Caenorhabditis elegans: one gene and its partners. The protein of the gene in region 4 interacts with the protein of the main gene of each other region in a pairwise test. Each region holds a gene or a part of one and is shown on either strand. Other genes may lie near its edges. The genes, in order: gldi-8, hmp-1, ztf-31 and athp-1.

Region 1 (7,349 bases), 1.7 Mb from region 4:
ACAAATTATGCTTCAAATTTTTTGCGCGGGAGTTCAAAAATAATTTGGCCCTTTTTATTTTTTATTTTGCAAAAATATATAAAAAATCATTTTAAAAAATTTAGAAACATTTTTTAATTTTTTTAACAGTTATATTCGCTATATTGGGACGGTATTCTGTCATTAAACTTGGTGTTGTCGAATTTTTTTTATTGCTTTATAAGACTCAAAATTGTCTGAAAACACCGAATTTTATAATGAAACTTCTTGGAAACTTCTCAAAAAAAAGTTATGACGGCTCAAAAAATGACCTAAAATTTGTTAAAATTTGAAATTTGACTTGTCGCAACGGCTGGAAACAATTTTTTTTTTTGAAATCACCGTCAAATTTTGAGTATAAAATTTAATTATTTTGCGTTTTCAACTCGATTTTTGGTATTTTCAAGTCGATGGACGGCAAGATTTGGTTAAAAAATTAAAAGCCGTCCATTTTCTCGCCGTCCATTGACTTTAAACTACCTAAATCGAGTTGAAAACGCAAGATAATTGACATTTATACCCAAAATTTGACTGTGGTTTTAAAAAAGTTAGTTTCCAGCCGCTGCGACAAGTCAAATTTCCAATTTTAACTATTTTAGGCCATTTTTTGAGCCATCATAACTTTTTTTTGAGAAGTTTTTAAGAAGTTTCATCATGAAATTCGGTGTTTTCAGACAATTTTGAGTCTAATAAAGTAATTTTAAAAAATTCGACAGACACCACCTTTATAGCAATTTTGAATTTTTTTTTAAACTTGTCTTGAAAAATCTTGAAAAAAGTCGAATAAATTCCCATTTTCCTATTTTCTTTTTTGCAGATGTGCGGAACGGTGTCGGACTCAGATGATTGGAGAGAGCCGAGTGGATCACCATCAGAATCGAATTCATCAACCGAATGGGGTGGCTATACGCCACAAGAACAGCATGCAGTTGTTGTTGCCAACGCGGTAGCTGTCGCTTTCAAGGAAAAATTGATGAATGGCGTGGATGATGATGATGATCAACAACCATCGCCGGCTAGAGGAGCACGAGATCATTCCATCAAAGAGTTCGTTAGTTTTTCTTTGCTTTTTTTTTTTTTGATTTTTGAGAGCAAATTTGAAAAGTTTTACACGGTTTTTGAAAAACTGTTGAAATTAAAATTTGTTGAGAATTTGATTTCGAGCAAGTTTTATTTTTAAAAAATTGAATTTTTCAGAAAATTCTGAGTTTTCTTTTTAAAAAATTGAAATTTTCAGAAAATTCTGAGTAGCAAGAATCTTTAAGATCCTTAATTTCTATGCAAGAATACGTAGGAGTTTTACTTTGCTCAGGAAATTTTATTTTTTGTCAGAGGAGTATATCCGAAAAAGAACAAAAAAAATGCACATTTCTCAAAACGCGTATTTTTTTTTCAGTTCGATGTCAACGGTAACACTGCTGGAACGGAAAAAGTTCATGATGCCGTCGACAATCGGTCTATAATTTGAACTCTCTGCTGCTGCTTCTGCTACTGCTGCTACTGCTGCTCATCGCCAATTTTCAATCCTCCTGAGATTTTTTGATGGTCATTCATTGTTTTGTGCATATCTCTCTCTCTCTCTCTCTCTCCCATGATTCTCAAATATTTCAATGTATTTACACCCCCACTCTGTCCGCTGCCTAATCCCCGACCGAATAATCAGATTCGCTGGAAAAATCTGCGATTCTTTAATATTGCAACCACCCACCCAATAATATGTGTCTCATCATCTCGGTACTCTCACTTGAGCCGTGTTTTCTGTAGTATTTTATTCTCTAAAAAAAAATCATTTTTAATATAATATACGTACACATTTATATCTGTAATATATATTTTTAAAAATGATTCCCCCCTCCCCTCCATTCGTTGTTTTTTTTCTGTGGGTTTCAAGCTTTTGAGCTGTGAAAAATCTCATCCCATCATCATTTTCTATTGTTTTTTTTCACAGTTGAAATATCCTATTTTATCTTTTTCCTTTTTTTTTCATTTTTTTTTTTTCATCGTGCGGGATTCATTTTTCGTCCCGCGAAACGCCCGCCGCCGCCCAATCCCACTCTCTCTCTCAGTCTCTTCTTAATGATCTTCGAAACTATTTTTATTTCCCTCATTAACAATTACGAGGTCGTCTTTTTTTTTCCCCACCCCCCACTGTTTGGTGTAATTTTTGTGTTCGGGGAGGTTTTTTGTGTGTGGATTTTTGGATTTTTTGGATTTTTTCAACAAAAAATTCCCCCGAAATCAAAATTTTTTCCCATTTTCCCCTCAATATTAGTACTGTTGTATAAATAAACTTGCTCTCTCTCTCTCTCTCGAAATCTCCTACTATTATTTTTTTAAAAGATTTTTCCAACAAAAATTCAAAAAACCACACAAACGACCTCTCTGCACGCGGTAATCCTCTCTCTTTTTGTCCCCCATTTTCTCTGTTTCTCTTTTTTTCTATCCCCTATACCTGTGATTGGAATATCCCATTTTTCCAGCAACAAACCAGCAAAAACAAAAAAAAAAAACTTGAAGAATTTCAAAAAAAAAATGACAAAAAAATCATAAAAATCAAAAGAACCTACATTTTTGTTGCATTTTATAGACACACACACGCACACACACAAGCAAACAGACATAAAAATTCAAATTTTTCGAAAAATTAAAAAAAAAAAAAAATTTCCCTCCCAAGGCCACCTGGGCGCCAAAAAGATAGTGGGTGGCCATGAAAAGTGCAATACTTTTTTGAAATAAAAAATAGTGTGAATATCGGAGAGACGCAGAGAAGAAAGGTCGAAAAAGTGAAAAAAGAAGAATTCTTTGTTCCCTTTCGTTTTTCCAATCCAATTGAATAGGACTTTGAGATTACTGTAGTCCAAAACTAAGGTCCCCGGGGGTCTCGACACGAAAATTGTTTTTGTTAAATGCGGAAAAAGGTATGCGCCTTTAAGGAGTACTGTAGTTTCAAAAAATTTGGTTTTTTCTCCAAAAACAGTTTTAAAAAAATCGAATTTTTTTCTTTCTCCAGTCTAAAAATGTGTTTTTAAAGGTGCACAATATTTTTCAGATGGGTATCGGCGCGCAAAAAAAGTTAATGGTAATAGTTTCTTCAAAATTATATGCGGTTTTCAGAGAAATTTTGAGTTTTTCTTTTAATTATATCAAATATTTGGACGAAAATTTAAAGGATTAATGCACAGATCCATTTTTTCTTCCTTTTTTTACTAGAAAAACTATGTAAAATTTTTTTTTTAAATCGCAATTTTCTCCAGGTATACGGTAAGCAAGTCCGCAAACACCGAAGCATTGCTGCACGCGTCGCACGACCGCGACGCGTCTCCCCCCTCTTTCGTCACGCGCTCATCGATTTTCGAAGTGAACACACAACCAGTTTCGTCAATTTTCTGCGCTATTTCTTCATTTTTAATGGAGATTTACGATTATCCAATGTCGTACGCTGATTTAACTCCTGTGACAAGCTGCTCATCATCGTCAAATTCTGAAGCGGACGCTAACAACTTTTCAACGGTTATCCTTTATTAAAAAATGTCAAATTTCTTTAAAAATGGCTTTTTTTTCGATCAAATCTTGTGTTTTTTCGGCAAACACTATTCGAAGCCATTGGGTGTGTCAGTGACAATGTTTATCCTCGAACAAAAATGTAATTAAACCAATTAAACCAACCAAAAAAACTAAACTCAAACTTGGGAAAATTAAACCTACTCAGATGCTTTATGCTGAGGTCTTCTCACTACCGCCGACCAATTTTACTTATTTTTTTATTTTCAGAAGAACAAAAATGTCAATGAATTCCAAAAACTCATTGAAGAATTGGAATTTGAGCCGGAAGACCGAAGAGTTCCCGAGGTAGCTGAAGAAGTTGAATCCGAAGACGAGGAAGAGGAAGATGTCCAAATCAAGTATCCTTACGAACGGAAAGACGCTTATCAAGACCTCCAAGAAAGGATCGAGCGCAGGCTAAACGATTCTGGAGATGAGAAGCTTGAGCAGAAGGCGAAGGTAAGATTATTTTTTTTTAATTTGCAACTGAAACTTTTTATTCCAGGAACTTCAATCGCTTATCCGAATGAGCCAATCACAATGGAAAGTCGAGCAAAAGCAACAGCTGGAAGATTCTCTGTTGAAGCCACACACTGCTGGATCGATTTTCACTTGCGTTATGTGCTCGAAAGCATTCCCGAACGCTGAAGCTCTCCAGATTCACACTGATCAAGTGCATGATTTGTCTAGATTAAAGCATCGTTGTAAGCTGTGCGGAAAAGCTTATAAGCGCAAGAAGAACCTTGATGCTCATATGGCCCTCCATCTCAAGGAAATCCAATGCGACAACTGCTCACTGGTCTTTCAATCTGAAAAATCGTTGCAAAGTCACATAATCCGGCATCATCAAGAGGATGCGGATGAACTTGAAGTATGGAAGGCGCCGTGCTCGATTTGCAAGGAGCTATTCCCATCAACATCTGTCAAAACTCACGAATGGTACTGCAAGAATAGGGAGAAAATTATTGAAAAACAGCGAGTATCGAAGATTCTGAAAGTACAAAGTTTGCCGTCAAGCCCAGCTCTTTCCACCGTCAGTTATGCATCATTCTCAAGCTGTCAGCCTGGGCCAATCACAAGCCCAGTCTCCTATAGGGATAAATCGTGTCAAGTGTGTGGAGAGAGCTTCGCGAGCCGACAATCAATGCTCCGGCATGTTGGTAGAAAACATCCAGATGCCAAGAACGATCCAAATGTCACGGCTGTGAGATACATTAGCGCTGAATCGGTAAGGATAAGAATTTAAAGGTGGACTACGCTCAGTGGGGAAATTGCTTTAAAACACGACTATGGTACCACAATGACCGAATATCATGATAAAAAATTCTAGATTTTATATTATTTTTTGAAAATTGAAAAAATCTCGAATTGCATCAAATTCCCATTTAAACCTCCCGCCAAGTGATTTTATCGATGGAGCGCGCTTGCTCGTTTTTATTTTAATTTATTGTTATTTTTTCTTATTTTTCGCCGATTTTTCATGTTTTCAGTGTAATTTTATGAGAAATTTGAAGAAAAAGTCAAAATAATGCAAATTCTCGATTAAAAATCAACTTTGCAAGCGTAAAAACGAAGAAGTACCACTTTTAAACGATTTGGAGCCAGTAGTATTTGATTTCACAGATTTACGCTTGTAAAGTTGATTTTTAATCGAGAATTTGCATTATTTTGGCTTTTTCTTCAAATTTCTCATAAAAATACACTGAAAACATGAAAAATCGGCGAAAAATAAGAAAAAATAACAATAAATTAAAATAAAAACGAGCAAGCGCGCTCCATCGATAAAATCACTTGGCGGGAAGTTTAAATGGGAAATTGATGCAATTCGAGATTTTTTTTCAATTTTCAAAAAATCATATAAAATTTTTAATTTTTTTTTTGAATTTTTTTTATCATGATATTCGGTCATTGTGACCCCATAGGCATGTTTTAAAGCAATTTCCCCACTGTCGCTACTCCACCTTTAATGAATGAAAATTTAAAATTAATGAATTAAAATTTAAAATTTTCAGCCCAAGCATCCATATGCTTGCATTGAATGCGGAAAACGATTCACAACGGTCACCGCTTTGTCAACACACAAGGCTCGTGTTCATTCACAATCCAATCGCTTTGAATGCACAATTTGCCACAAATCCTATCCGGTTCCATCAGAATTGAGGAAGCACATCAAAAGAGTTCATGAGAAGGATGCGCCCAAATCTCGATCAGCATTGGAAGAATTACCGGAAATGGACGATATTTTCTAAATTTCTCTAGATTCAAATGTTCAAGATTTTGCTGTAATTTTCCCACCTCCCCCCCCCCCTTTATTTTCAAAATACCGGTCCGAACGGGTTCCAACCGAGTTTACTAGATATTCATGTAGAGATTTCAACACAATAAATGAATTAAAATGCGTGAAGCCTATTCCTCTGCAAATTAATTCCAGCCAGCGGATTTCAAGCTTGATGACATTGAAAAATATTGGGTAGTTGTCTCACCGAGAACAGGCCTAGTTTTACGAACAGGCTTAATATTAGGATTAGGCTTTGGCTTAGAATTAGGCTTAGGCTTGATTTCAGGCTTTGACTAAAGCTTAGGTTTGGGCTTAGGCTTGTGCTTTGGCTTAGGCTTTGGTTTTGGCTTTTTTTTTTTTTTGGCTTAGCTAACGCTCCCCCACTGACGCTATGTAGAGATTTTTCATATATTTTATTAAAATCAGGGCTTCGCCCCGATTTTAATAAAATATATGAAACCCTCTTAAAAAGTTACAAGAAGGTTTTTCCTTGCGCTTGGAGCGCAAAAGAAAAGAAAAAGAGCTATTTAGACTTAGGGTGCCCAACTGGAATAAAATATAGGAAATCCTTATGACACACCGGCGGTATGGCGCGGCTTAAGCCTAAATAGCCACTTTTATCAAAATACATTTGAGCGAGGCGGCTGTAAACTATTCGTTCTTTAGCAAAAATTAAAAAAAAAACTTTATTTAAATTTAAAAATAAATATCATATGTTATCACACCTTAGAATATCACGCCTTAATTTAGTAATCATTTTTACTTCATAAATGTGAGAGAAAGAAAAATGGATTAATCATCGGAATTAAATATCATCAGAGTGATTATATTCATCAAAGGTCCCACTCTACTGGAGGGTTAATTTGGTTGATATAAAATTCCTATCTCATGTAAAGAAAGGTTCGAATTCTGTACCTATGACACACTTAAGCCTAAAGGCCCGAAAAACATACTAGGATGCCCAACTGGAATAAAATATTGGAAATCCTTATGACACACCGGCGGTATGGCGCGGCTTAAGCCTAAATAGCCACTTTTATCAAAATACATTTGAGCTCGTCTTGCGTTTTACTTTGACTTCTCAGGCAACTCAAAAGTAATCTGTGGATATTTTTCAGTAATCTAAATGAAGATTATTTCTAAGAAACTTGAAAATTTTGTAATATTTGAAGGGATGCGAGCAATCTCTACATATTTGCGATCAACCTTTGGAGATTTTTTTTCTTAGTGAAGTTATTGAATGCCAATATTCAAATTCCCATCTCATGGGAAGAAAAGTTCAAATTCTGTACCTGCGTATATTTTTTTATAACTCCGTTTTTCCCACAAGAAAGGCCTTCTTCCCATAAGATAGGAATTCAAATATCGACAGCATTCATAGGTACAGAATTCGAACCTTTCTTTACATGAAATAGGAATTTTATATCAACCAAATTAATCCTCCAATAAAGTGAGACATTTGATGAATATAATCACTCTGATGATATTTAATTCCGATGATTAATCCATT
Region 2 (9,924 bases), on a different chromosome or scaffold from region 4:
ACAACTAATTTTTTTTAATTGGTCAAAACTTTTTAAATGTAAACTGGAAAGGTTCCTAAAAATTACTACCTGGGGTCAAGCTGAATTGAGGAACATCTTGGCCACACTTCGTAAAAATTCTATAAGTATCTTAGTAACTCCAGTGAAAAAGTTCAATAAGCCGGCAACAGTTACTAGATTTCCGTAAATTGTCTATGAAAGTTTAGACAGGAGAAACCTCTTAAAATTGGGACAAAATAGACTCTAAATCAAATTATTATTGAACATATTTTTACAATAGCACAGATCGTGTTGCAGTGATTAATAATGTTGTTGATATCATCTGAGAAAGTTCAGGTTCTCAGAAAAATGCAATCTCAAAAATGTACTTTCCCTGATTTTTCCTAGTTTTTTTTCTTTTTTTTCACTTCAGTTCACCCCCGCGATTCAAAGTTTACAAACAGCTGCTGCCGTGTACAAAACGTGATTCAGACTTCTCTATGACTCAGATTCCACTTTTTTGAAACGAGAAATTGTTTCGGTCGTATTCAAATTTAAATTTCAATACCCAATATAAGAATATGATGATGATGCATCAATTCACTGTCCTTCCATATCCCTCAGAATTATCCCTCGAAATCTCCGAATAAGACGTAGAAGACGTCAAAACAAAAGGGAAACTTTTTGTCCCTTTTCCATCATCTTCTCAATACTCCTTCCATAAAAGTCCTTTATTTCCGGGGCGCACACTCACACGCTGCTGCTGCAGTTGCCCCAACATAGGCCATACGTACCCAATTTTATAATCCATGGGAGTCGGGCAAACAAACTCAATTCGGTCATCTTCTCCATCTGTCGAGTCTCTGCTCATCCCGAAGGGAACCGTCCTGCTTCCGTCCGTCCCAATGTCTGTGTCTCTTCATCTCCATTGACCAGTGTCCTTGCCTCTTCGTCCTCTATTCCCGCCGCTCGTCCGTTCTTATACCCTTCTCTCCGCTCACTCGTCACCCGCTGACTGACCGACCGGCCAACCCGACTGAATCATCATTTCTTTATGTGTCTTCTTTCTCTCTATATTTAACAGTGTCTTCGTACACCGGTTGATGGTGCGGAATCATCGTTTTCACCATATTCACTTCTCACTCGCAAATACCTCAAAAGTTTGCTTTTTGTGACTTTTTGGCTTCGCAACTTTTTTATTTGAAAATTTTTGAGTGTGAAACATATATTCAACATGGCAAATAAAAACTAAGTTTCTTCATTTTCGGTCGAAATTTTAATTTTCGAATTTGTTTTTTTCTTAAATTTTATTTAAAAAATAGTTATTTCCTAAATTGCCGGCATGTGAAACATAATCCCCTATTAATTGTTTTGTTTTTTCGTTGAGTAAACACCCGAAAGGCCTCACAGGCCCCACCACACTTGTTTCTCGCTATTTTGCGAAAGGATTTTTTATTTTTTTCATTGAAAATTTAATTTTTAATTTTTGAAAAGTTAGAGTAAAGATTTTTATTTTATATGAGTCATTTTCTCAAAGAATAAGTAAATTCTGTGTTTGCCAATAAAGTTTAACGGTGACAGTACCCTCTTGGATCTCTTTGAGACCAACCACCCCTTCTTTATCGTGCGCCTTCAAATCTAACAGTAGTTCTAATCGATACTTTAATGTAAGGTTATGTATTTCTTTTTATATTTTTTGATTTCATCTCAATATAAATATTATTTCTCTTCGTTTTATTTGCATTCTAATCTGAATTTTCAATTTTATTAATTTTCAGAATGCCTGCGAATGGCAATTCTCATGCGTATTTCAACATCGACGAAGTGCGCTCGAAAAATGTTTTGAAACAAATTACTCAATTAATCAATGAAGTGACCAACATCACTGAAACGTTTCCGTTAAAACCTGGACAAACTACTGAAGGACTTGTCGCCACTCTTGATGCTGCCGTTGCTAATTTTCTTCAAACGGGAAGCTTTGCAATTTCGAAATGCCCAATTGCAAACAGTGATCCACGCGCAATTGATTTATTGCACGAAGCTCTTGGAGCAGTTCAAGATACTGGGCAAGTGATGATTCAAACTGGAAGAGATTTTGTCAGAGATTCAACTTCAACAAACAAACGAGCTATTGCAACGAATTCTGGTAGAAATTTGTTGACTGTAAGTTTTTAGGTACTCTTTTAACTGAAAAATGTTGTATTCAGGCTGTCGCTAAATTCCTAATTCTTGCCGACTCGATTGATGTAAAAGTGATAGTTGATAAAGTAGATGAAGTTCGAGAAACTGCACACCAAATGATTGAAGCGGATACAAAAATCAAAGTAGATGATTTGTACAATCTTCTCATTTCTCAAATCGAAGAACTTGATATCACTGTTCGACGACGAGCCATTGATTTGGTTAAACCAAATCAGAGAGATGATCTTCTAGCAGCAAGATCAGCACTTCGACAGACTGCACCACTTCTGTATACTTCAACACGAACATTTGTAAGACATCCAGAACATGAAGAAGCTCGAAGAAATCGTGATTACACTGCAGATGAAATGCATTCTGCTTTAAATGCTCTTGAATCTGTTTTAAACGGACAACAACCGAAAGTAACATTTTCTGAATATGGAAGAATAGGCGATCTTATCAATGAAATCGATACTTTTCAAGTGAGTTTAAAAATTTCAAATAATAAGACAAATAATTTATTTTAAGAATCGAATCGAAATTGATCCAGCCCATTATCGTCGAGGAACTGATCGTCCAGATCTTGAAGGACATTGTGAACGAATTGTTAGTGGTTCTGCTTCAATTGCCGATGCTGAAAGCACTCGTGAAAATCGAAAACAAAAAATTGTTGCTGAATGCAATAATTTGCGGCAAGCTCTTCAAGAACTTTTGACCGAATATGAAAAATCTGTAAGTTTTTTCTATTGATCTCTTGACTTGTTGCCTCGTTTAAAATAAAAAGAAATAAAAAACATTCAAAGAAGCGCATCTTTTTCACAAAAGGGCGATGGAGACGGTGAGAACAAACAAACAAACAATCGTGCGTTCTTTCAAGTGTGACGCCTTGTCCCTCAGGGCGAGAACAACTGTTTTTGTTTGTTAACCGAACTCGAACTAAAGCCGTTTTTTAGAAAAAAAAATGACCACCGCGAGTTCAGACATGGAAAATGTTTTTTTTAGAATTTCGGGGAAATTCTTTAAAAAATTTGTAGTAGTAGAAAATATAGAGACTACAAAGTTTTTACAATAAAATTTAAAGCTTATTACGACCTGTTTAACTATGTTTTAAATCTGTAATTTTTCAGACCGGCCGAAGAGATGATAATGATGATATTCCTCTTGGAATCGCAGAAGTACACAAAAGAACAAAAGATCTCCGGCGACACCTTCGTCGTGCAATTGTAGATCATATAAGTGATGCTTTCCTGGATACCCGTACACCGCTTATTTTACTGATAGAAGCTGCTAAAGAAGGCCATGAAGAGAATACAAGATATCGTTCAAAGATGTTCCAAGAGCATGCAAATGAAATTGTTTCAGTTGCTCGTCTTTCTTGTCAACTTTCATCAGATGTTGAAAGTGTTAGTGTCATTCAGCATACGGCTGCTCAACTTGAAAAACTTGCTCCACAAGTTGCTCAAGCTGCCATCTTACTTTGCCATCAACCTACTTCAAAAACTGCTCAAGAGAACATGGAAACCTATAAAAATGCTTGGTTTGACAAAGTGAGATTGTTAACGACTGCTCTTGACAATATCACTACTTTGGACGACTTTTTGGCTGTCAGTGAAGCACATATTGTTGAAGACTGTGAGCGGGGAATCAAAGGTATCACGGTAAGTATTTTAGTTCTCAAAATTTTAAATTTAATGAAAATTAACAAAAATAGTTTTCGCTAAATTCGTCAACTTTTGAGACGTTCAAACTGAATTTTCCAGGCAAACGCTTCAACACCGGATGAAAATGCGGCCAACTGTGAAACTGTCGACTGTGCTGCCGGATCGATACGTGGACGAGCTCTCCGAGTCTGTGACGTTGTCGATGCTGAAATGGACTTCCTTCAGAACTCTGAATACACTGAAACTGTTAAGCAAGCTGTTCGGATTTTGAAAACTCAACGTGTAGATCAATTCGCTGAGCGTGCGAGCGCTTTAGCCAACCGTCAAGAAGCACACGGACTTACATGGGATCCAAAAACAAAGGAAGAAGAAATGAATGAATTTATCAATGCTTGTACATTAGTTCACGATGCAGTTAAAGACATTCGACATGCACTTTTAATGAACCGAAGTATGAATGATGTTGATTCGGATGTAGAGTATGAAGCTGATGGTGTTGGTGCAGCAAATGCAGATGCTAATCGTACGATATCCGAACAAGAAAATCAACAGAATCTGATGAGACGATTGCCAGAAGAAGAGAAAAAGAAAATTCAAGCACAAATTGATATCTTCAAAGTAACACAAACACGATTCGAAAGAGAAGTTGCCAAGTGGGATGAAACAGGAAATGATATTATATCATTGGCCAATAATATGTGTAAGATTATGATGAGTATGACAGAATTCACAAGAGGTTGTGGGCCATTGAAAACGACAATGGATGTTATCCGAGCAGCACAAGAAATCTCACTTAATGGATCAAAACTAAATGCATTGGCACGGCAGATTGGAGAAGAAAGTGCTGATTCGCAGACGAAAAAGGATTTGCTCGCATATTTGTCACAAATCACTCTATATTGTCAGCAACTGAATATTTGTAGTAAGGTGAGTTTTTTTAATTGGTGCCACGAGCTGTAAAAGCGTACCAAATGTTTTTGGTCAATTGTTTGTTTCGGGGGTTTTTTAAATTTGTCAAATTAGTTTTTCAAGAAAATTGTAAAGATTCACAATTAAAAACGCGTCTATAAAAACTAAAACTGAAAAGAATCTCGTATTTTTCAGAATTATCTGAAAAGTTTTTGAAAAAATTGAGAATTAAAAAAAAAAACTTATAGATAGTGTGATATTTCACCAAAAGAGGTTTCAACTGTTTTTAACGATTTCAGTAGAGATATAATTTTACTTCGCGTTTTTTTTGCGAACCAAGCTCTAGACTGAAGCCATGAAAAATGAAAAAAAAATTGTGATTGGCCTCACTTATACTAGAAAATTGTTCATATACTTACTATAAATAAGTTTTGTTTAAATTGCTTTCAAAAAACCATGTGAAATATAACTTTAAACTTTTAATAGAAAGTAATATTTCAGGTGAAAGCTGATGTGACTCAAGTTGGAAATGAGCTTGTCGTATCTGCACTTGACTCTGCAATGTCTCTTATTCAAACGGCTCGAAATCTTTTAACTGCTGTTGTACAGACTGTTAAAGCTGCATACATTGCCAGTACCAAGGTTGGTTCCCTTTCTTTAAACAAAACATTAATTATTATTCCCACTTGATGTCTGATACTATTGCTTTCCAGCATTTATCACACATTTCTTTTTTCGTACAGACGATAACGGCTGCTTACGTAATTCATTTCAAATCAGATGGTATTTCGCCCACTCTTTTGAGTAGACACGTGGTTTAAAGTGCCAATAGACCAGTTGCCTTTTGTACACTGAATTTTGAGATTTTAGAAAGTGTACCCAAAAGTTTTAGAAAATTAAATAAATAAAATTAAAAAAAAAAAAAAACATTCTCAATAGTGTGCACAACGCGAACGTGCTCGAGTCGAATCAGCCGTTGCGCTTAGCGATGCTCACAAAGCTATTAATTATGAAAGTCCGATGGATGAATCTGGTGAGAAAAAATGAGAAAGCATTAAATATCGTGTTGTGTGGTTTTATCGATGTTGTTTTTGAGAAAAAGAGATATTGAGCATGTCGAATTTAATTTTTTGCTTTTTTCTCAAAATTTACGTTGGCTGCTGCGTAATTTAATGGTAAATATTTTTTATAGTTAAAAAAAGCTTATGTCTTGAGTTCAAATCAGTGGTTAAGACTATTAATGTTTGACGATTTTTTTTTAATGGAGTAGGGATTTTGCTTTAAAAAAATCCAGAATAGTTTGATTCTCAGAAATACCCAAAAAAGAGAAAGAATGAAATGTCGAATTTTCGAAAATCAGATTTTTCAATTTTTGGCGATTCCCTATTTGAATTCTCTCAGTTTGGTGCGAATTCAAACATGGAATTTAGCCAAAAATTAAAAGCAAAATCTCAGATTTTTATAGATTTCCTGAATCCTAGAAAATACAAATTAATTTTCATTATATTCCAAAAAAAAGAAAACAATTCCAGTTAAATATGTTAATTCAAATTGGTAAGGACATCCCTTTCTTATTTTCCCTTCACACTTAAAAATCGTTTTCCCAACAAAAAAACATTTAACTTTCTAAAAATGCATTGTATCGGTCTTGATGTGTGGACATCGATCCCCCAATATGTCGGTCTTGTGATCTTATACTCCCCCGTAAAAAACTCATACATTTTAAACTAGATTGTATTGCAACTTTAACTAAGAAAAGAAGATTAAGTTGAAAAAAAAACTTGAAAGAAATTGATACGAACGTAAAATATGTGTTATTGTTGATGAAAAGTGTCTCGATGTTGTTTGCTGTTGGTTTCATTTTCTTAAATTGCTCGAATGCTTGGAATTCTTTGCTGATAACTTCCTGAAACTCATCCTTATTCTTGCAGTTCCGTCGTCCTAATGCCAACAGTGTACGTGTCGAGTGGCGAATGGCTCCACCAAAGAAACAACCACTAATTCGACCACAAAAGAATAATGCTATAATCAGGTAACGTTTTCATCTATTTTTTTTGAATCAAGGATCCCTCTATAAGTGTTTCCTTTGCCTGCAAAAGGACATATGACACACTTCATTGAGAAGCCATGTGAAAAAAAGTAGTCGGTCCCTGAATAATTCATAAAAAATAGCACTGCCACCAGAAAATGGCACGTAGCTGCCATTGTCAGTAGTCCCAAGTCCCTTTTTTTGTGGTAAAAGTGGTGAAAGCCGAAAGAGCTGCGACACCAAAATGTATATTCTTGACTTGTTGAGCAAAAGTGTATCCCTTGAGGATCATAAATGCAAATTGAGTTTTCGGAAAGCAAAAAAAAAGCGACAATGTTCATAAAAAGTGATGAATAGTTGGATGATTTCGGACATTGAAATGAAAGTTTTAAAGCATCAAAAAACACAATTTTTCTTTTCTTTCAGAAAATTTTCCCCCCCTGAAAAAATTTTTGATAAGATTTCAGACATTTTTTAAACCTATTAAACTAAATTTTACGATTTTGAGATGCACCCCGTAAATCGACACAAGCGCTACAGTAGTCATTACAATAATTACTGTAGTTTTCGCTACGAGATATTTTGCTCGTCAAAAATATGTTGTGCAATACGCATACTCAGAAGTTGGTGTTCCCGTGATAGGTGATCACTAATTCTTGATCATTATCTATTCCATTACAGAAAATTAATTAGAATCCCCCTTTCAAAAGATGTATTCAACGAACGCCGACTAATGTTATAAAGAGTTTGCAGACGGGCATCCGAACGGCGACCTTTGCAACCAGCTAAAGTGCTCGCCGAGTTTACGCGTAACGAGATTGAGACGGGTCGTGATAGTGACGACGAGGAACTTGATCGCCGGCATCAACAAAGAATAAACGGTCGTTTATAGATAATTTATTTCAGTTTTATTCATGTATCTTCATACTTTTCCCTTCCAAATCTTTCCACACATCCTTTATATGCCCGAGTCTTTATTATTTTCTCATTCTTTCAATTCTCTTCAGCTAGAAATTTGTATCTGTGTATTTTTTGTATTCATTTCTGTTTAATGCTCTAAATTCTATCAGCTCATCACCGCCACCATTATCACCGCATTTTTCATTTTTCTCCCCCATGAATATCATAATCCATACTGTTGAAAATCAGGTAACTTTACATCTTTACAATTTATTTTCGCACTATCAACCTCACCCTTTCAACGATTTTTTCTGTATGATTCTGATTTCTAAACTCCCTGATCTATGTGCACAAGTTTTTCAAATTAGATGAACTCAATTCTTTCCTATTTTTATTATGTATATAGACATCAAAAAGGTCTCGTACATCTGGCACCGTCAAAATTGTTGTGCCTGAGCATTACGAGCAGCTGGTACTAAACGGAAGTGTGTGCAACAACTCTCCTTCCACCCTCGCCTCCTTCTTCATTTGTACTACGTTTTGCTTTTCCCCTTATTCTCTTCTCCTGGACTACTAGCAACAGAAAGGGAGGAGGACATAATTGTTTTTTTCTTCAAGAGAGACTTCCCAAATGGATATCCCCTACTATTTTCACACATTCCCATATTGCCACCCATGTTTTCGCTTCAAGACCCAATTTCAATTCCCTAATTTCCTGCGCATTTCCGTGTTTGCACACGCGGCGAGTTACTTTTTAATTTCCTGAAAGCTTACGCCTCCGGGTTTTCCGTTTTTTTTTTTGCTGCTGTTGCTGCAGAAAAATCCTGGAAATCGCGTGCCTAAAGTGTATGGAACGCTGCTTACAGAATTTCCAACGAGATTCTAGAATATTCAACTTATTTTTCTTTCGAGAGACAAAGTGATGGTGGTGACCCAAATACTAATTAGTACTATTTTGTACGCTCATCTTGCTCCAGCGTCCTTATTAGTCTCATTATTTTGGGGCGAAAGTTGGCTGGTTTTTTGTCTCTCGTCATTGTTTTGGATGACCATAGAACATCTTATTTAGAAACTTGTTAGTAGAACTACGTTACAAAGTACAGTAACTCTACAAATCTCCAAAATGTGGCAGCCTCATTTTTGAGTGTTCCGAAGTCACGACCACTTGGTACAGTCAATCATGTAGAAGATATATAGTGACGTCATTCTACCAAAATAAGTGTTGCCCGGATTTCCAAAGGTCTAGCTAGAATTAGGAAACTCTGACTGTTTTATGCAATTGCGCTCTTCTGAAGAACGCTGGTCTCGCAACATTTCAAAAATCAGTTATGTTTGATCATTGTCTCCTTATTTTGAATACCCTTAAAAATACCTGTATATGAAAAATGGGTTTTTTTAAAGATATTTTAATTTGCCACATTATAGAGAACTTGCTCACTTGATCTATTTAGTAAACTGAGATTTCTCATCTGGATATCCTCATATTTTAAATTGAACACCCAGGTTTGTACTCCATTAAATCTCATAGCAAACTTATTGTTCAATTTTGAATATTTTGAATTTTATCTATCTAGTAATTATTTTATGACTTATTCCAGTGTTTTTAAAAGTTGTCTTGTCTACTTATTGTTCCTGTTTATCACGAAAACTATAACAAATATTGGTAAAACTAAAATTCGATTAGCGCATTAAGCCAAATATTAAATACCAGCCGTGGACCGCACCTCCGGCGCGGCCCCCGACTTCTGGAGCTGAAAACCATTTTTTCTGAAACTACCGTAATCATACAGTACTCCTACCGTACCACCATTGTACCACTACAGTACCTCGACTATATCCCTACACTAACCCCAACTCACTATCTCTCCAGAAGTTAAAACTTCGCAGACTACAAAGAGTACATAGACTACAAACTATGGACAAACGGAATAAGCGCTATATATATAGTAAATGATATTTAATAAAACCTGCCTGACCAAAAACACTGAACCGGAAGAGAAGTTCCTCCTCTTCGAATTCTATTCATATCGTTCGTTATCAACGCAGTAATCAGTTTCCGTTTTCTTAACTAGTTAGATAAGAATATTTTTATTTCGGTACAATTTTAGTTGAACCAGACAGTTGTTGTTTCCTTGAGCACTTACCACGTGCTCATTTCGTAATAAATAAAAAATGACCCCCTGCTTTTGTGGAAGTTTCTGGAGTTTTTCCACTTTTTTGGAGAATTTGACACAAGAAGTAAATACTAGACTCATGAACATTCGT
Region 3 (6,189 bases), 3.6 Mb from region 4:
GAAAGATGATAACTATTCGGAATGGTACAGTGAAGTTATCACTAAGGCAGAAATGATCGAATACTATGATGTATCTGGTTGCTATGTTCTTAGACCATGGTCATTTGCAGTTTGGGAATCTATTCAAGAATGGTTTGATTCTGGAATTAAGAAATTAGGAGTGAAGAACTGCTACTTCCCAATGTTCGTATCAAATGCTGCCCTCGAACGCGAAAAGACTCATATTGCTGATTTTGCCCCAGAAGTTGCTTGGGTTACTCGTGCTGGAAACTCTGAAATGGCCGAACCAATCGCTATTCGCCCAACTTCAGAGACAGTTATGTACCCATCTTACAAGAAATGGGTTCAATCTCATCGCGATCTTCCAATCAAGTTGAACCAATGGTGCAATGTTGTTGTAAGTATTGATTTTTTAATTGAAATTAGTTAAAAATTTTTATAAATTTCTGTTGAATTTCTCCTAGCTGTCTTGCTCCACTGCAAAAATATTATCATAATACTTTTTTCCTTTACAGCGATGGGAGTTCAAGCATCCAACACCATTCCTTCGTACTCGTGAATTTCTCTGGCAAGAGGGACATACGGCTTTTGCCAACCCAGCAGACGCTGAAAAAGAGGTTTTCCAAATCCTTGATCTCTACGCAGGAGTCTACACTGATTTGCTCGCTATCCCAGTTGTGAAGGGACGAAAGAGTGAGAAGGAAAAGTTTGCTGGAGGAGATTTTACGACGACAGTCGAAGCATACGTGGCATGCAATGGTAGAGGAATCCAAGGAGCAACTTCTCACCATCTCGGACAAAATTTCTCCAAGATGTTTGATATTTCGTACGAGGATCCAGCGAAGGAAGGAGAACGAGCATTCGCTTGGCAAAATTCGTGGGGTCTTTCCACTCGTACCATTGGTGCAATGGTAATGATTCACGGAGATGACAAGGGATTAGTACTTCCACCAAGAGTTGCCGCTGTTCAAGTTATTGTTGTTCCAGTTGGATTCAAGACTGAGAACAAGCAATCGCTTTTCGATGCTGTTGATAAGGTTACCAAGGATTTGGTCGCGGATGGAGTAAAGGCTGAGCACGATTTGAGGTTTGAAATTAATAATGAATGCAGTTATGTACGTTTTTAATTACAGAGAAAACTACAATGCTGGCTGGAAGTTCAATCATTGGGAATTGAAAGGAGTCCCAATCCGTTTTGAGGTCGGACCAAATGATTTGGCAAAGAACCAGGTAACCGCTGTAATCCGTCACAACGGAGAGAAGAAACAACTTTCCCTGGAAGGACTGTCTAAAACTGTCAAATCTCTTCTTGATGAAATTCATACTGCTATGTACAATAAGTTGGTTAAAATTTTTAAAAGTTGAAATAAATTCCATACTTCAGGGTACTCGCTCAACGTGACTCTCACCTGAAGAGCACCACGTGCATCGAAGAATTCAAGAAGCTTCTTGACGAGAAGTGCATTATACTGTCCCCATTCTGTGGTCGTCCAGACTGTGAAGAGGAAATCAAGAAGGCATCAACAAGAGAAGACGGAGAAGGCGCACAGATGGGAGCCAAGACGTTATGTATTCCATTGGATCAACCAAAACAAGAACTTCCATCAAAATGTCTTTTCCCATCATGCACATACAATGCCAAGGCTTTCGCTCTGTTTGGAAGAAGTTATTAATTTTCACGTCTACGTCCCTAATAACTAAATATTCAGAAGCATAGTATTTATTCGTTGTCCTCTGTTTTTGCTATTTATTTTTTTTGGTGATTGTTTCATTTGTCTTCATACATCCTACTATTGCTCGTTTTTTTCATTTGTTCTGAATATCATTAAAAATAAAAATTAAAAATAAAATTAACAGAAAAAAAAGAACGTGGTGCCCTACATTGCGTGGTGGTATGTGGCAATGGGGTCAGGGGTGGGGAATGATGGAAAGAACATTTACACTTTTAGTTTTTTATATTAATGTCGTCATCCAGTGAATCCGATTCCGAAGGAGAACGGTAACATCATTTAACTTTAGATTTCCAGATATTTTCAGCGGTCTTAAATTTCAGAAAACTTCCTTTGTCGTATCGTAGAAAAAGACGACGTGATTCGAGTTCAACAACCAACTCCGAAGTATCCGATAATGATAGAAAAAAACGGCAAAACGAGAAGCGGAGAAGCCGTGAGTCATCCAAGATGAAGCATCAAAAAACGGCGAAACGGGACAAACCAATGTGGAAAGAGGAAGGAGAAATTTCATGGTGAGCACAGTTTTCATTGCATTAGAAGATTTCTTTCATTTTCAGTGACAGTGAGAGTGACGTCTGTAATTCCTCGAGTAGCAACAACCGGAGCCGCTGTCGTGATCGGCGAAGAAGAACTGATTACGGAAGAAGACGTCACAGAAATTCAGATTCTAGATCTCATGAGAGATGGAGTACTAGAAGAAGACAGACAACTCCAGAGGGAAATTTCAGATGTGATGAGTGTGGATGTAACCACTACACTTTGAAGGTAATTGACTATGGACACAAAAGTGCAAGCTTCTGACGTAATAGATGAAATAAGCATTATTGCATTGGTGACTCGGTTTGCAACAATATCACACAGTCGCAAAGTTTGCGATTTTCGCGCGAAGAATACGGTGCTCGGTCTCTATGCGACTGTTTTTGTTAAATTTTTTAAAAAGCGTGCGCCTTTGAAGAGTACTGTAATTTCAAAATTTTATTCTGCGGAATTTTCAGGAGTTTTTAAGAATAATTTTTCTCCAGATCTTTTGAGAGTTCTGGGGTTTATGGTTATATTTATTTTTTAAATATACTTCTATTGAAAAACTATCGTTTTAAATTCCGCAGAAACTAGATTTGGAAATTACAGTACTCTTTAAAGACGCGCGCCTTTTTGTATTGAGCAAAAATAAATGTCGTCTCGAGACCAGGAACCGTATTTTTGTGCAATAGTCGCAAAATTTCGCGTCTGTGTAATAGAAAGGTTTGAGTTTAATGGAATAACTCACTTTTGCTCAAAATTTCATATATTAAATTAGTAAACACCTCTGCAGCTTGACACCGACTGGCACACACAAAATATTAAACTTTCAGGGTCTAATCCATCACGAAATGAACGACCACAACCTCAATGCAAAATGTCATTTATGCCAGAAATCTTTCGAGAATAAGAAGACATTCCGTGAACACTGTGAATTGGATCACACACCGGAAGTGGTATGACAGTATTCATTAACAGATTCAATTTGAAATATTAATTTTAGGTTAGATGTGTATTCTGCAAAAGCTCATTCGATCAGCCACTGGAAATGAACGATGAACAATGGGCACACTTTTTCGCTCATATTTATGGGGTTAGTAATTCACCATTCGAATCTAGAAGTCGATTCTCCTGACTGACATTTTTAAAACCATTTTTTCCAGGAAATCCTCTACTCCCGCCTTGCCGACTACGAGGATCGTGCTTTGAACACTGCATGAATTATATATTTGATTCGATGGTTAGCTTAATAAAGAATTTTTCTGTTGTACTTCAACCTTTTTCTGAAATAGGAAATAATCACAAGTTGTCTGAAAAATGTGATCAGCTATCCAGATCAAACAGTGAAAATGTTGTCTGCAATGATTCATAGCTGAACATCTGAACTCTTAAATTTTCAGCGAATCATGATTTGCATTGTGATATATTATTCTTATGGTTGCAAAAGAAAAAAGATTACGAAAATATCTTGTGACAGAGTAAGAAACCATTGAAATTTAATTAATCACCGTGGAGACAGGTGTGCACTCTGCTCTTATTATATTATCAAAACGAGAAACGCGTGAGCAAGAAGTGGGCGTGACTTGGTAGAAAGGTACTTAATCGAGATGTTGAGCCAACTTTCGAGATTATTCTAAAAGTTTCCATATCAATAAACTTTTTTGGAAATTTCATCTTGCAAGATGTCGAAGGCAACGTCCGCGTGTTCTCAAAAGGTGAGATTTCTGAAATAATACTTAGGATTAAACTTGAAATTTTATCCACATAACTTTATCTAGGAAAAAACTTTTTCGATTTATGTTAGAACCTAATAAATTTCAGAAGACCTCTCTCCTGGATCCGAGTCCAAAAAAGTCATCTGTAATTGAAACAACAACCAAAAAAACTTCTGGGATTGAGTCCAAACTATTGCCAAATGAGCTTCCATCAACTGGAACAACTGGAACTAGCGGTGTTAAGAATGGGGCTTCAAGTCCAAAAACTAGCCCAGCAAAAACCACTACTACCACAACTACCGTAGTCACTCAAAAAGTTTCAAATCAACCAACTGCACCCATTTCAACACTTCCACCTCGTAAGCCAACAGCCCAAAAAAGTCGCGAATTGTCCCCTCCAAAAGCGAAGAAATCTCCGAGTCCAAGTCGTACTGGTTCAGGTGACTCTGGTTCAAGAAAGGAAAGCAGTGCATCCAGAAAAGATTCTTCGAAAACCGAAAAATTGGTCAAAGATTTGGAAAATGTCAAATTGGAGAAAGGAGGTAACAAACTCAGGCAACAATGGGCAAACTGAATACACTTAATTATATTTCAGATTCCCGTGAATCGGCTACTCTTCCAACTCCGAAGCAGTATCCAGCTTCGGACGATGAGGAAGACACGGTTAGTGGTTAAACCAAAACCTAGCTAGAGCTCATATTACTCCTCTTGAGTTCTGAAACTCGTGGCAACCTCTCTTTCAAAATTGTGATGGGAACACTCTGAACACACAAAATTATTCCATTCTTGTTTGTACATAGGAAAATGTGGCAACTTTATATTTCGGGTGTGTGAGGTCAAAATGACTTTTAGTGCATTTTTATTGCTGAAAAACATCCATGACAGCATATAAGTATACTTCCTGAATAGTGGATAGCCACACTTTTTAGCAATCAGTATTTACGAGTTTATTATTCACTCAGTCTTACTCAGAAGTCTCAGAAGTCTGAGAAGTCAGAAGTCTAACCACACTTAAATTTCCTCATCAAGTAAATTCTCTACGGTTGTGACAAGGTCTACTTAGAAAAATAACATGCACCTTCAAATTGGCGTTATTTCAATCACAAAAAATTAGTTTTACAGAAGGAAAGAAAATCACTTCGTTTTGGAACAACCACAGAATGGCAATCGGATAACTTGGAAGAGTTCTACAGAGAGCATGAGAAGTTTCCAAATGCAGAAGCCGTTAAGAAATTTGGGCAAATGTATTCAATGACTGAGCTCATTGCAGAGGTATATACATATAACACTTTAAGAGACAATCATCAACAATTCATACAAAGTGATCTTCAGACTTGGCTCGAAACTCGTCGCCAACAAACGTATCAGAAATACGTGGAAAAAGGTCTTCAAACAGATCCATCTGTCATTCAATTTTATTGTGAATCTCTGAAAATTGCCGAAGGTCTTCGTTTGGAAAATCCAAGTATTCAAACCAAATCATTCTTTTCCTTGAATGGAGTCAATGCTCTTGAACAGAAAAAAGAAGAAGAAGAGAAAATGCAACCAGTCATTTCAGTTTCATCTAACAAAGTTTTCATTAGTCCAAAAAAAGAGCAAAAGTGTCAGTTGACCATCAAAAATGACGGAGAAGTCAATGTAGTGTATCAGATAAGTATCATGAATGCGGCAAATTATGTCATGTCACCAATCTGTGCAATATTGCTTCCAAAAGAGGAATTGACACTTAATATCACAAGAAAGGTAGGTAACGAAAAATGTGTGTTTGGAATTATGCCGTCTGGACAAATCCCAGGTTTTCCAGGGAACATTCTGAATACTTATGATCACTGTTCGAAATTTCTAAAATTATCCGATAACTTTTTTTTCAGCCGGGAAAGCTTCTTGAAGAAGAGTTCTTCCGTATTGACTACGGTGTTGCTCCTGAAGGAATCATTGATGCACGTGATTCTTCTGATCGAGCAGAATTTACCAATCGGGAAATAATCGAAGTTGTCGAGATCGATGAAAAAGAAATGAAAATTGTCCGTTAATTAATTCATACTTGTATCAATCAAAACTTAGTTTGAAAGCACAAAAATTCCTTGATCAATTCAAAAATTACTTCTGTTTTTTTCGAAAGTTGTATTAACTTTGTATGAACTTGACATGAACCCTGCAAGTAATGTACTAATATGTACACTAAAATTCAATTATTCTCATGTCACCTTTCTTGTAAAATC
Region 4 (7,002 bases):
GAAAAACCGTGCCATTATTTTTTTGGAATATTTTGAAATATTTCATTTTTTCAGCTAAAATCTGATTTTTTCGCTAGCTTCGAATTTTTTATAAGAATTTTTTTATTCTAGCTTTTTTTTCGATTCGAAAACTAGGTTTTTAATTAAAATTCACAACAAAATCCGCCGAATTTTTCCGAATTTTTTGCCTGAAAAATCTGAAATTTAGATCAATTTTCTAACCTGCAGTGTTCTTTCCAAAAACTCTGGCGTTTCCCCAGTAGAATTCTGGAAAACCCGAATATATCCAGATCGATCACAAGTTCTAGCCAATCCATATACAGGATCCACTGAAACAAATTGAATAGATACCATCCAATCATTTAATCGTCCTTTTGGCCAATGGGTTACTGTAGGTCGAGCGATTCCATTTATATACTCGAAACTTGATGAACGACGTTCGTGGTGGGGAAGGATTCGTTCGTCGAGCTGGAAAATACTGAATTAATTTTTTTTCAAAGTGATCTACTAAACCGCGCTCCTTTAATGGCCCGAAACTACCAAAAATTCTGCTAAAATTTGAAATTTTGGAATTTGTTTTCGAAACTTTTTTACCATTGTATTGGGCTTTTTTTGGGTCGCAGTGAAGAAGTAAAATTTTGAATTTTCAAAGAAAAAAACCAAAAATCGAGTAATTTTATGGCAAAGATGTATATTTTGCGATAGATTTTTCGGGGAAAAATGGTGTTTTAAAACATATTTTTGACGCGAAGTTCAAGGAAAATTGACTTTTTCGGCAAAATTGGTTGTAAAAACTCTGAAATTAGCGCGAAAATTAACCAATTATGTTTTTTTCCAAAACTTTTGGACTATTTTTCAAGGAATCTTATAAATTTCCAAAACTCACAGTCATATAGCTCATAGTTGCACATCCACTAGTCTCTGTACCCCATGAGGTCTCATCAATTGGACATGGTTTCCGTTCCACAGAGAGAACATTCACGTGGAGCCACATTTCAGAGATGACCGGGCTCACGGAGCACACCAATAATAGTAGAATTCCATAGAAGATGGGCGACGACATTTTAGTGTAGAGTGTGTGTCTGAAAGAAGGATTTTTTGTTGAAAATCAGGAAAAAAAACGGAAAAAAATTAAAAATTATTTTAAAAAAGTTGCAAATAAATCAAAAACTGCCATTTTTTCAATTTTTCGGAGAGAAAATCGAGAAAATGCAACTTTTTCTGCAGAAAAATATTCAAAAATTCAAAATTTTTCCAATTTTTCGGTGTTTTAGAGAAAATTTCAATTTTTACTTCGGAAAAAAATTTTTTCTGCAACTCGAGGAAATCGTTTTTTTAATACGACCAGAAAGGAATTTTAGGAAAATTGGAAAATTCTGAAGCTTTCAGAAAATTGAAAATTGCCAATTTTTTGAAGAGAAAAGCTAAAAAATTAAGATTTTCCCCAAAAAAATATAGGTTTTTTCGAATTTTTAAAAAAATTTCAATTCAGAACCAAACATTTTCGGTGATTTTTCAATAATTATTTTTCGAAATTTGGAAAAATCCAAAAAAAAGTGTGAATTTCAGTGAGAAAAAAAAAGCTAATTTCTGCAGAAAACAGTGAAAATTTGAGAATTCTAGGAAATATCGAAATAAAAAAAAGAATGTCGATTTTATCGGATAAAATAATACATCGACATACTTTGAGAGACTGGAATAAGAATAACACAATGACTGACTAATTGGATGCATGGTCAGGTAGAAGGAGGAAGGGGGTGTCACCTAATTATAGGCGGAGCTGGAATTACAGAGCGTCTCGAGAGATGGTTATCTTGTCGAAGGACGGGATTAGCACCTTTTACAACGTGTAGATGTCTATTGAAAGAACAAAGGATTTGATTTGTGATGGGCTGAAGATTAAGATGTTTATTGCCTTGTTTTGGAGCTTTATCTGGGCAAAAGATAAGATTTTTTTATACAAAATTCGAATTTTTGACGAAAAACGTAATAAATAATTGGATTATAGAGGATTATAGACCCAAAATGTGCTCGAAATCTGAAATTTTGTCCATTTGTCTGAGTTGCAGTAGTTGATGGAAGGTATACCTATTATAATTTGGTAGATGCACAAAAGTTGGCAGGTGTGTGGTGCACACATATCGACCGTAAATGTACCAAAAAAACACAAAAAGTATGCAAAAACAGCTACTTCACTGACAAGTAAACAAAATTTAAGATTTTAGGTTATTTTTTGCGATTTTGATTCTATTTTCAATTGAGGAGCAGTAAATAGCGGTTCTGGGTACTAAAAATGTGCTTATTTTTGTTTATTTTCCGCTTGAATTCATTTTTTCAACCCAGAGGTACCACACAACATCATCTCACTACATTTTTTGTGATATATCAAATATAATATGATTTTAAAAAAATTGAAAATACTTTTAATGGAAAATCTGACAGAAACCAAGATAAAAAACTACAAAAAACTGGGAAGAACTGGGAAAAAATTTTTTAAAAAAGTTTTCTAAAATTAAAACTACAGTACACTTTGTTCAAGGCGCATGTGCCGTTTATAACATCGTGGCGAGACCCTCGCCGAAACTCTGTCCATGCTGCTTATGATTACTGTAGTTTATTTATTGTTTAATTTTCTTAAATCTTTTATTTGTTCAATTTCCTCGTTTTCCTTCGCTTTTGTTCCAATTTTCTGTTGAAAAAAGTATATTCATAACAAAAATTATTTCTTTCTTTCCAAACAAGCCAAAAACAAGGCCATAAACCGGAAATAGCCGACAAAAGAAGTGGAGATGAGTTTTAGGGTTCGAATAGGACTGCCGATGGTTTACAATGCCGATTGTGACTGTGGAGATGGCTGTAAAGGTGCGAATAGTGATTCTTTTCAAGTTAGCCGCTGGAAATTTCTCTGAAAATCTGAAATTTTACCTGAAATCTGAAATTAAATTCAAAGAAATGCGTGAAATTATAAATTTTTATGAATTTTCTTCAATTTCCCCTAAGAAATCAAGATTTTATCCGTAATTTCCGAAATTATAGGAAAAAACCTAATTTTTTTCGGCTTGACGCAACTGCGCTCCATTGCGAATTACGAAGAAATAGTATGTGAATCGAGGAGGGCACAGACAGCTAGACATCATGCTTCTCATGAAAATTCATTCGAATTTCTGCGATTTCTATGACGATTTTTCATTTTTTCTTTGATATTTTAATTTAAAATGCATTTAAAAAATCATTTCTCATTGATTTTCTTAGTTTTCAGAAAATATCAATGCAGAAAAAAGAGAAAGAAGGCCGAAGAAAGCTGAAATACGACTCAAACGACGGTCTTCTGCCGGTAAAATTGGCAAATTTTCACTTTTTCGCCTCAAATTCCAAATTTTTGTAGGAAATTCGCCGAGTTTGCGGTTTTCCACACCACATTTCCGAAGAATTGTCGGCGAGAGGGTCTGGAAAGAAGAAAAAGCAAGTGGAGGAAGAATGGAAATGGCCTGAAGCTCAAATATGCGGAATTTGCTCTGTAAATACATTGATTATTTGGAAAAATATTGGAAAAAACTAATTTTTCCCTGAAAAAGGCAGAAAAATTGCAAAAAATCATCAAATCTTTGAAAATTTCGATTCAGAACTGGAGTTTAAAGTAAAAAAACCAGATAATGCTGAAATTATTTGATTTTTTAAAAAAGTTTTTAGTCCAAAAGAGCTGCAAAATTCGAATTTTTGATGATTTTAGCATTTTCAGAATAAAAATTCCCTTTTAAAAATTTATTATAGGCCTAGGTTCAGGCTTGGGCTTAGGCTTGGGCTTGAGCTAAAGCTTAGGCCTAGGCTTATGCCTTTAGGCTTAAGCTTAGGCTAAGGCTTATGCGTAGGCTTGGGCTTAGGCTTGAGCTAAAGCATAGGCCTAGGCTTAGGCTTAGGCCTAGGTTCAGGCTTGGGCTTAGGCGTAGGCTTAGGCTCATTATATTATTTTTGCAAAATTGGAAAAAAAAATCCCAAATTTTAGAAAAATCTCTCCACTGAATTCATAAATTTTCAATAAAAAAATGCCCAGATTTCCAAATAATTTTCCATGTTTTTTTGCAGTCCGGCGGTAACATTCTATGCTGTGAACAGTGTCCAGCATCCTTTCATCTTGCTTGTATTGGATACGAATCATCCGATCTTCCAGACGACAATTTTTACTGTAATCGATGTAGAAATCTTCCGGAAAACGTTCGGCTCTTTCCACCGGAAAAGTGCTCGCCGTCTGTAAATCCAGTGCTCCGAGTTGAAAATGAAAATCACCGAAATTGGGAAGCTATTGAATATCATTGTAATCGACTTAGAGATGAGGAACAGGCCGAGAAAATGAAAAAAGATGTTGCTTATGGGCCAAAAAGTGAATTTGCAGAAATTCAAGACTGTTTTCGGGATAAAAATCTACTGAAAGCACTTGGAATGGCTAATCCCATGGATGTAAGGGAGTTTTTTCAAAAAAATGAATTAATGCTTCAATTGAAAAATTAATGAAAATCGAAAATTCTGGATTTTTTAAAATTTAATTTTTTTTTTTAATTTTCGATAAAAATAGTTTTAAAAAATGCGAAATTTTATTAGCAGAAAATATTTAAAACACTTTTTCTCCCGAAAAACGTTGAAATTTTCGGCGTTCGATCCGATTTTCGGGAAAAAAGTGAAAAAAAAATTAGAAAAATCGGGATTTTTAACACTGTAGGATAGGATAGAAACAGAAAAAAACACAATTTATTTGCAGAAAAATGTACAAATATTTTTGAGTATTTTCGACCTTTTTTCCTGAAAATTATCGTTCTTGAGACCATTTTTCCGATAAAAATATTAAAAATAACGCTTTTTTAATTCTTGTTTCGAGTTTTTGTGAAAATTCTTTATTTCTGTGTCCTTCAAAAATTTCCAATTTTACAATAATTTTCTCGAGAAACCTAGATATTATTCCAAACATTTATAAATAATTTTTCCAACATTTTTCAGTATACAATACCACCGGAATTCCAAGCAGATCGTGATTGTTTCTCTGGTGATGCAATGGAAGACAAGAGGCCAACTATAATGGGAGAAGTGTGTGCTGAGTGCAATTTGTACGTTTTCGTAGCAAAAATGGACCTAAAGTGCCAAAAAAAAGAGGAGTTTCCTACCAGAAAGTATTGAAATTGAGCGATTTTCTCTCGAAAAATATCCGAAATTTTTCTTCAAAAAAAATCATTTTCGATTCTTAAAATGATCTCAAAATCTGAACTTTTAGATTTTTTTCTGAAAAACACGATAGAAAAATCAAAAAGAAAAATCAAAAATCAAAAAATTTCGTTTTTCGATTTTCCGATTTTCCAAAAATTAGCTTCACATTTTGGACATTATTCTTATTTTTAGAAGAAATTTGGATTTTTTTCTTACAAATATAAGCAAAATTAAATAAAAAATCGAATTTTATGGTTAATTTTCTGAACATTTTTTTCAATTTTTCGATGTTTCGATTTTCACTGAAAAACATCGAAAAATCGAAAAATGGCACCCTTGATCCCTTCTTGAAACTCCAATTATTATTTTTTTTGCAGAAAAGACGACTGGACACGAATGCTAAAATGTGACTTTTGTGATCTAATTTGGCATCAAAAATGTGTTTTTTTTCTGGAAAAAAAGTTTTAGCTAATTCAAAAAGTCAAGATTTTAAAATCTTAATTTTTTTTTGAAAATCAAAAAATCACCTGAAAAAGACAGAAATTACCTATTGAAGAAAAATAACATATAGTTTTCGAATATTATGTGATTTTCAATTGTTAAGAAAAATTCAATATTTTTTCTGAAAAATTCTGAAAAAAGTAAATTTTAATTTAAAAAAAAAATTTTCTGTAAATTTTCTGAAATAAATTTTGTAGTTGAGGAAAAATTTCAAAAATGTTCCGAAAAATTTTCTTAAAAATTTCAAAAAACTTTCGGAAAAACTTCAAATCAACTAGTTGATAGAATGAGAAAACTTAGAAATTTGTAAATTCCCTTAAAAATGCAGAAAATAAGCAAAGGTAGGCAGGCATCAGGCCCTGAAACCGCGCCTGCCTACCATATAATTTAAAACTCCAATTATTTTTTGCAGAAAAGACGACTGGACACGAATGCTAAAATGTGACTTTTGTGACCTGATATGGCATCAAAAATGTGTAACACCTCCACTTATTCATGTTCGTGCATATTTCTATTGGATGTGTCCAAGACATCCAGAAACTGTCATTGATAGTGTTTTAATTGGTGATGAGATTTCACGAGAAGATCGTCGACGGCTTTATGATAAATATGCTGATGTTGAGCCGAGCTACGAGATTTTTGAGGAATTTTGTATTAAAACTGAACAATTTCGAATGAAATCGGAGGTTTTTGGTGAGGTTTTGCTTACTGAAAATCTTTTTTAAAAAACTTGAAATTTCTAGAAATATTAAAAAAATTTTCTAATGTTTTGGATTTCTTCAAAAATCGTTTTTTTTTTAATTTTTAAAAAAATAGAAAAATGCTAAAAACTGGGAAACTTTTAGATTTTTCCCAGGAAAAATGCCAAAAATCAGAAATTTTCAAATTTGTTTCTGAAAAATGCAAAAAACTTTGAGGTTTTCAATTTTTTCCAAAAAAAAATCTCCGAAATTCCGAAATATTTAGATTTTTACATAAAAAACAGAAAAATCTTTAAAATTTTCAATTTTTTCAAAAAAATGCTAAAAAACTCGGAAAATTTTAATTTAAAAAAATATGAAAAATTCCGAAATATTTAGATTTTTCTAAATAGTTACAGAAAAAATCAATTTTTTCTAATGTTTTGGATTTCTTCAAAAACAGAAATTTCAAAATTTGTTCCTGAAAAATGCAAAAAACTCTGAGATTTTCAATTTTTTTCAGAACATTTTTTATATTTTCACATTAAAAAAGCAGAAAAATCTTTAAAAGTTTCAATTTTTTAAAGAAAAATGCCAGAAAATCAGAAATTTCCAAATTTGTTTCTGA

What was found.
Region 1: the proteins of athp-1 (region 4) and gldi-8 interact in a two-hybrid assay, tested with the Caenorhabditis elegans proteins (one large-scale study listed by BioGRID).
Region 2: the proteins of athp-1 (region 4) and hmp-1 interact in a two-hybrid assay, tested with the Caenorhabditis elegans proteins (one large-scale study listed by BioGRID).
Region 3: the proteins of athp-1 (region 4) and ztf-31 interact in a two-hybrid assay, tested with the Caenorhabditis elegans proteins (one large-scale study listed by BioGRID).

The regions. Positions count from the first base shown.
Region 1 is NC_003281.10:12,594,606-12,601,954, reverse strand, and holds gldi-8 (C2H2-type domain-containing protein), read left to right. Parts: upstream 1-3,270; 5' UTR 3,271-3,426; coding exon 3,427-3,528; exon of another isoform or gene 3,529-3,789; coding exon 3,790-4,020; intron 4,021-4,066; coding exon 4,067-4,789; intron 4,790-5,573; coding exon 5,574-5,810; 3' UTR 5,811-5,961; downstream 5,962-7,349. Other genes in the region: epc-1 (Enhancer of polycomb-like protein), read left to right, coding at 836-1,065, 1,415-1,481.
Region 2 is NC_003283.11:11,844,120-11,854,043, forward strand, and holds hmp-1 (Vinculin), read left to right. Parts: upstream 1-1,757; 5' UTR 1,758-1,758; coding exon 1,759-2,142; intron 2,143-2,186; coding exon 2,187-2,642; intron 2,643-2,688; coding exon 2,689-2,892; intron 2,893-2,964; exon of another isoform or gene 2,965-3,187; intron 3,188-3,287; coding exon 3,288-3,818; intron 3,819-3,920; coding exon 3,921-4,748; intron 4,749-5,231; coding exon 5,232-5,372; coding exon of another isoform or gene 5,373-5,420; exon of another isoform or gene 5,421-5,669; coding exon of another isoform or gene 5,670-5,777; exon of another isoform or gene 5,778-6,661; coding exon 6,662-6,762; intron 6,763-7,503; coding exon 7,504-7,651; 3' UTR 7,652-8,046; downstream 8,047-9,924. UniProt on the Caenorhabditis elegans protein: Required for cell migration during body enclosure and cell shape changes during body elongation. Required for proper localization of other junctional components, such as pac-1.
Region 3 is NC_003281.10:7,239,429-7,245,617, forward strand, and holds ztf-31 (C2H2-type domain-containing protein), read left to right. Parts: upstream 1-1,936; 5' UTR 1,937-1,961; coding exon 1,962-1,999; intron 2,000-2,053; coding exon 2,054-2,245; intron 2,246-2,290; coding exon 2,291-2,498; intron 2,499-3,085; coding exon 3,086-3,208; intron 3,209-3,255; coding exon 3,256-3,345; intron 3,346-3,415; coding exon 3,416-3,472; 3' UTR 3,473-3,522; downstream 3,523-6,189. Other genes in the region: pars-1 (proline--tRNA ligase), read left to right, coding at 1-397, 516-1,087, 1,134-1,340, 1,385-1,673; osm-10 (Major sperm protein), read left to right, coding at 3,935-3,967, 4,074-4,509, 4,563-4,630, 5,090-5,239, 5,300-5,710, 5,839-6,000.
Region 4 is NC_003281.10:10,879,102-10,886,103, forward strand, and holds the start of athp-1 (PHD-type domain-containing protein), read left to right. Parts: upstream 1-2,664; 5' UTR 2,665-2,862; intron 2,863-3,259; 5' UTR 3,260-3,268; coding exon 3,269-3,334; intron 3,335-3,385; coding exon 3,386-3,517; intron 3,518-4,083; coding exon 4,084-4,455; intron 4,456-4,989; coding exon 4,990-5,096; intron 5,097-6,106; coding exon 6,107-6,387; intron 6,388-7,002. Other genes in the region: C44B9.3 (C2 domain-containing protein), read right to left, coding at 223-468, 887-994.